Linked DNA regions of Tribolium castaneum. The protein of the gene in region 1 interacts with the protein of each later gene in a pairwise test. Links are inferred from orthologs where the notes say so. Each region holds a gene or a part of one and is shown in the gene's direction. Other genes may lie near its edges. The genes, in order: RNA polymerase II-associated protein 1 and Polr2L.

Region 1 (4,590 bases):
GGGTTTCCCGTATTTCTGGGTCAATTTTAAGCAAACTAGTGCCCATCAAAGTGATACTTTTCGCACCTCTAAATTCATAAATCTTTGCATTTTTAACCAAAATCACCGGATTACCGGTGACTGCGAACGACTCTGCCTGTGAGCCCCACAAATTCAGAGAAATCTGCCCAAAAACACGAATTTAAAAAAAAACACCCAAAAAAAACAAAAAAAATTACCGCGGTTTTGGTCTGATCGACTAACACGAGCTGTCTTTTCTGCATCTCGCGATTGGTTGATTTCGCCACAAAACTCTGCAGTTCCGAAATTGTCTTGCAAACGCCGATCACGTCTAAAATACTCATTCTCTAAATTTAAAACGTCGGCAACCAACAATACACGCATGCACACAGTGCTGGGTTTTACCCAATTACCAACAATGGTCCCAGCTTCCATGACCGCTACTTTATCAATCGTGGTGAAATTGTACGTTATTTGTGGGATGATCTCATTGTCGTCATAACTCGGCTCGATGATCGTTTCCGGGGTGAAGTACATTTCAAACTGGTGCTTTAAGGAGCAAAATTGGCGATTGATTGGCTGGAGCTGGCATTTGCTAATGTAGTAAACCTTGTCGACCTGGAATTTCGCACGTGATTGGGGGAAAACCTTGGGTGGTTTACCTCAAGGCGATCGAAAAACTTATCAACAAGGTCCCGGAAAGCGGTGCATCTGATTTCGCCCCCTTTGTCGACCAAATCGATGCTGAAAAGCTTACCCTCCCCCTTGGCATTGCTCCAGTTTCTCACATTCGTCTTATTAACGACTCTCGCCCTAATTATCCAGTTGTTGTGAAAGGGGTTTAAGCTAGCTATGGGACTGATTGTTTTTGAGGAAAATGAGCCATTTATGCACTCATTTCTCTTGATAACGTCACTCGATTGCGTCAAGGTTTCAGAGTCGGATAAAGAGACAGGGTTTCCGATTATCTGACCTACAAACTCCCCACGCGCAACCACTTCCAGTTCCAAAATCGCAATAACTCGCCTGTTTTAGCAAAACAATGCAAATTGCCAAAATAATTGGTGGCAATACGTACGCATCTATGTTATTCTTGTTTTTTATAACGTTGGAAAGATAGCGCTTTAGTTTAATAATCGTAAACACCTGCTCTAAGACGTGGGGCAAAGTCTGGTCGTTCTTTGGCACAGTAAACACTGCAATATTTACTTTGTGCAAACCGTCCGAAATCATCAGGCGTAAGCGCGAGCTGCTGTCGCTACCCCCTGGAGACATTTTTTTAGTCCCCAAAATTTGAACAAGAGGGTCAATGACCTCGCCCCCGTACATAATCGTCTGAAACAAAAACACGTTGCGAAGGCTTATCACCGCGAGAAATGCACCTGAAGCGCCCCTTCTGATAATTTGTACGCAGAAGCCATCACAAAATGCACTAATATCACTGAATTTTTACAATAATTAAAAGACAAAATTCGCAAACTTTGACTTGCCGCAAGAATGGCGTCGGCAATGCTGCCAACCGGAAACTATCACTCCAATTTGGGCAAAAATCGCCCCTTATTTAAATCAAACATTTAGGGGTGAATGTATTTCCTCGTATTTCTAATTTTTCTCGGTATTTACGCTTGTGGTTATTTCATATTCGGGTAAAATTTGCGTCCAGTGGGGCCAACCCGGCAAAGTTAAAGTACCAGTTGGTTGTTTTCAAAGCGAAATTTTCGAATCTTGCGGTTTTTTTTTGGATTTTTTAATAATGTATGCGCGACCTAAACCTGGCGAGACGGAGGAAGACCTGCTCCGCTTGCAGGAAGACTTCAACCGGGCGCAGTCCGAGAACAAGATCAAGTTGGCTGCGACCGTTATTAGCGAAAAGCGAGGTTAGGTCTTGCATTTTGTTGATTTTCCGGAAATAGTGCCTTTTAGACCAAACGGCTGCGCCTGTCGCCACCGACATCCAGGACCAGATCGCCAACACGTTCGAGGCAATTCCCGACGCGACAAATGTGGGAAAAATCGTGGAAAAACTGGCGGACAAGACAGCTTTGCCTCTGTTAAATTTTAGCACAAATGGGGGCTTCCCCAAGCCTAAGCGTCGCGACGCGAGTTGTGAGGCGTCGAGCGATGGGGGTAGTATTTTCGCGCGGCAGTTCAAACGCATGAAAGGGGGCAAAGGCCCCCCTAAGCCAGTACCAGAAGTGGCGCTTCCGAGCCAAAGTTTTGTCTTGAGTGGCTCAGAAAAAGACTCCATCCATGCGGAGAATGTCCAGAAGATGAGGGGCATGTCCGAGGAGGAGATTTTGGAGGAGAGGGAGCGACTTATGGCAACTATGGACCCTGCGATTATTGCGTTTTTGAAGTCACGTCGACGGGAACAGGACGCGAGAATGAATCGAACGCCGACGATTCAGGAACAGAACGAAGCGGCTGAAAATATGGACGTTGACGAGATTGAAACTGCGAGCGAGATTTTGAAGCAACCGCAAGCGGAAAAGTGGCTCAATTTCAAGACGCTGGAGACGGGGAAATTGGCGTGGATGAAGGGTGTGGAAATGCCGAAAATAGACAAAAATAAGAGCTTCGAAGCCAGGTTTATAATGCGTTCTAACTGCTGATCAAAGTGGCCTGTGACTGGTGTTGCAGTTGGAAAACAACTGATTTTTTTTGCCCCAAAACGTGCTTAAACTTTTCGGCGTAATATTGTCAAGACAATTTACGCGAAGTTGTTTTAAAAACGAAAAAAAAAATGCAATTTTTTATTTTATTTTGTGCTCTAAGGCCTGAAAATGACAAAAAAACACCATTATTAATGTTTTCGTTTTTTTAATCTTGAAAAATAAATGATTATGGTTAAAAAACAAACTAAATCGACCGAAACTGTTGAAATGAACATGAATTTATATCCAACTTGGTGGATTCTCAGCCAATTTCTCGAAAAAAAATTGTTTTTACCTCAAAAAATAACACCATTTTCTGATTAATTTATGATTCTTTGGCGTATTTTAAAGGAAATTTTGCGAAGTAATTGCGTTTACAAATATCAGATTTATTAACATGACAAAAATTATGTAATCTTTGATTAAAGATTATTTTCCTGCCTGTTTTGTGGTGCTTAGAGTCCACAAAAACAGTATAAATAACGTAATTTTCGACCAAATTTTGTGGATTTTTTTTAACAGAACTTTGTCAAAATTCAAGATAACCAAAGTGAAACAAAAAAAAAACAATATCAATGAGTAAAACTACTTGAAAAATACAGTTTTCTGCTTATTTATAACAAAATATTGCAAAATAATTGCATGTTTTTGACTGCAGAACGTTCTAAAAGCGCTAAGAAAAAGCAAAAATAATGTAATTTTTGACCTAATTGTTGTTTCTGCGAAATCTTACAAAAAAAAACTCACAGTTAAGTCCGCAACCATGCGTAAAGGTTTCAAAAAATAAAAATAAGCTCATTTTCGACCAAATTTATTAGTGGGTTGTTGGTTCATTTTTCTCAAAATTTGTAAAAAAATCAAGCATAACAATCTAAAATTTAGTAATTTTGCAGCGGGTTTTATTAAAATTTACAGAAAAAAAATACATCTACTTCAGAAAGGTGACTTGTTTTTTACGTAAATTTGCTAAATAAATACATTTACGACTGTAAAACGGCGTAAGATATATTTATTATTAGAGAAACCTCACTTAAATTGTAAAACCTTAGTTCTAAAGGACTGAAAATGGCAAAAATACTACCGTTTCCGATCAAGTTCTGTGTTTTTTCGGCTTATTTTAAATAAACAAAATCAACTTTGATTTATTGTCGTGATTTTTCTGTATGTAACAAATTGCAAGGTAATTTAATATCTGTTAAAAAAAATAAAGAAATAATATTTTCGGCGTGGTTTAATGAAAACTCAAAATAAATAGTACCGTCTTTTAACTAGTTCGCTGACTTTTTGACTTATTTTTGGTATTTCTGGACGCAAAATGTGCAAAAATTAAAAGACTGACTAAGCGTTGCCAACTTAATTCTCACAGTCAGGGCCACTTTGGTCAGAATAATGAAAACATTTGCAACAAGTGAGCAATTTCAACGCTGTTTAAAGGTTTGATTTTGAAGGCTGGGTCCTGCCATACACCGAAAAAGAAATCAGCGAAAAATCTAGGGTTTTGTACCACCATGGCGAAGAGGCCGGCAGGCCTGGATACACTTTACAGGAACTCTTTCAATTATCACGGTATTTATGTGCAAAAAAACACCAAAATATTAATTCCCCAAATGTAGGTCGAACGTAATCCAACAAAAAATCATCGCGCTGAACACCATTGCCAACATTCTGTCTTTACACTCAACAGGGGTGTACGACGACGTTATCGACTTGCCCCTTGAGCAGATTTTCTTCGTTTTGCGTTTCTGTCTGGACGACAACACGCCCGCGGTCCTAAACGCCGCAATTAAAGCCATGAGGAATTTATTTTACAGCAAAGTCGACGAGACTTGCTTGGACTGTCTCCTAGGTTTTGGGCTAAGTCAGGTGCAGCCTGTCTTGGCCGTAGACAACGAAGAGGACGACGACCGAGTCAACGACCAACAATTGGCCGAAACTA
Region 2 (2,351 bases), on another chromosome or scaffold:
GGGTTGGTTACTGTGGATACTATACACTGTGGCACCATATATTCTTTTGGCCTAACTTTTTGCTCCGATTGTAAGGCCCCAACTACCTTAAAGTGATTCTCTCTACTGTAAGTAATTAACACTACACACGCAAAATTGTTAAATTAAAAAATTAAATTAAATATTGAATTACGAAAATTTCGTTACTGTTTTCGACATAGTTCAAAAGTCGTCACCAGAGGGCGTCTAGTTAATTTTATTTCCGAATACAACCAATCACTACGCACAGGAGTGAACAAACATTAACAAATCCTGGTTTAGACATTTAAGAAGTTGAGTTGCAACAAATGTGGCGGTTTCAGACGTCCAAACATGAAAAAAATGCAAATCATGGCACATTAAAGACTTGGAGAAAGGATGCGGCTTTTGATACATTTTAGTAAACACAAGTATGAATCACAATCCATGTTCTTACTCATTTGTCCCAGTAATAAACTAAAGAATCTGAGATAAAGTGTAACACTTACCGCTCTTTCACAATAAGCCCCCATCAGCTTCCTGAGAGGGGTGTGCTTTTTGATCTTGAACTGGACGACAGCATTATCTTGTCCCAGTACTTTCAAGTTGATATGTTCCGTTTCATTGCTCTGCAAAGTCCCAAAAACGTGAGTATCAGTTCAAAATTACGGGAAAAAAACCTCGTTTATGGTTAGGAAAGAAAAGTCATGTTTACCTTCTTTTCGTCACCCATATTTGGCAAATTTGGTTGTGGCTTGTAGGAGGGTCTGGGGCCGAAGTTGATGCACAAATGTAAACGGTTTTAGTGGAATTTGGTGCACTTTTAACCGTTTTATCAACAGACACGCAGCTTGCCGCTAACAAATAATGGCCGGCTTGCTTGCAAAGTAGCGGTAACTGCTCGCCGGAAGTGACTACGCGGTTAGTCAAAGTCGGCTTTAGCTGTTCAAACTTCACACTTCCGCTTGAAACATTTGTAGAAATTTACCACTTCACGTTGACAAAACGTGCTTGAAACAACGCGGTAAATTAATACAAAAAATTAGGCTTTGTTTTCAATATAACTTTCACATGTTTTCTGCGATTTTTTAATAATTTAATCAAGAAATTAATCCTTATTTGTTATTGCCGTCGACAGATGGCAGGCCACAAGCTTCAATTGATCAGGAGCACCAATATTCCAGAAGTGAAGAACCCAGAAATTCACGAAATTAGAAATCAAAAAGCTTCTAGAAAAGCGCAGTTAAAGCTTTTTGAAAGTAATCTAATTTAAAGTCTAAATACCAACGCAACAAATTTTGATTAAGCGAGAGTGTGAGGTACAGAATTTGGTTAATTTTTGATGTGTCAGTGAAAAATTAGGTTATATTTTTTCAGGTTTTGTCGAGACAAGATGATTATACCGGTTCGTTGTTTTACTTGTGGGAAAGTTATTGGAAATAAATGGGAGGCTTATCTTGGGCTTTTGCAAGCTGAATATACGGAAGGAGATGCTTTGGATGCTTTGGGTTTGAAGAGGTACTGTTGCAGAAGAATGCTTCTTGGACACGTCGATCTTATTGAAAAGTTATTGAATTATGCTCCTTTAGAGAAGTAATCTGTAGTAGTAAGTCTGTTAAGTAAGTGTAGGTGTAAGTTTAATTTTATGGCATGTAAAAAGGCGCGTTTTTGAATAAATTTTACTATTATGCCTTGTCTTTCATAAACCAGCATTTTTGCAACATCCTATTTAGTTTTTCCTACTTCACGAGTTCACGGTAACTTTTTTGTTTATTTTTATAAAGTTATTCAAAAAAATTGCATTATCTTTGTTAATTCAACCATGTCTAGAGGGTCAAGAAAGTGTCGATATGGTGATAAGGGATGTCCAGTAAAGTTTAGAAATGAAGTCAGATCTTTTCCCAAGCAACTTGATTTTTTTATCATTCTTGTATTTGTTTTCTTTAGCAACCATTTTAATTGTTGTTTTGTTTCCAGTGATTAATAATATTAATATGATTAATATTAAATTATTTATTGTATAATTTGCTAATTTAAGTGTTTGTAACACCATAAGACAATAATTGTTGGTGATTTTTTTAAAAGATACAGGGTGACTCAGGGGTGCGGTCTGTAACTTTTTTGTTACTTGAAATTTTGCCATGTTTTCGTTTTCATTATTCTATAGATAGACTTAAAGTCCACAAACTATCTTTTTTTTATTATACACAGGGTGTTGTATACATCCTGGTTTACTAGAGTTATATTTTTTGAAATGAAACACCCCATACATTTTCACATAATTATATTCTATGCAAAAAGTAATGTAACTTTAAATAAACTATTATGGGTTTATCTCTTTTCGTTTTAAAATT

What was found.
Region 2: the proteins of RNA polymerase II-associated protein 1 (region 1) and Polr2L interact in binary tests that used the Homo sapiens proteins (3 or more experiments, as listed by UniProt). The link is inferred for Tribolium castaneum from reciprocal best matches to the Homo sapiens genes RPAP1 and POLR2L.

What each region holds. Positions count from the first base shown.
Region 1 is NC_087395.1:23,134,652-23,139,241, forward strand, and holds the start of RNA polymerase II-associated protein 1, read left to right. Parts: upstream 1-1,670; 5' UTR 1,671-1,753; coding exon 1,754-1,877; intron 1,878-1,923; coding exon 1,924-2,587; intron 2,588-4,088; coding exon 4,089-4,220; intron 4,221-4,267; coding exon 4,268-4,590. Other genes in the region: replication protein A 70 kDa DNA-binding subunit, read right to left, coding at 1-163, 219-331, 414-618, 663-1,026, 1,079-1,335, 1,383-1,421. UniProt on the Homo sapiens protein: Forms an interface between the RNA polymerase II enzyme and chaperone/scaffolding protein, suggesting that it is required to connect RNA polymerase II to regulators of protein complex formation.
Region 2 is NC_087394.1:15,049,549-15,051,899, reverse strand, and holds Polr2L (RNA polymerase II subunit 10), read left to right. Parts: upstream 1-1,390; coding exon 1,391-1,594; downstream 1,595-2,351. Other genes in the region: Sumo (small ubiquitin-related modifier 3), read right to left, coding at 507-626, 713-730. UniProt on the Homo sapiens protein: DNA-dependent RNA polymerase catalyzes the transcription of DNA into RNA using the four ribonucleoside triphosphates as substrates.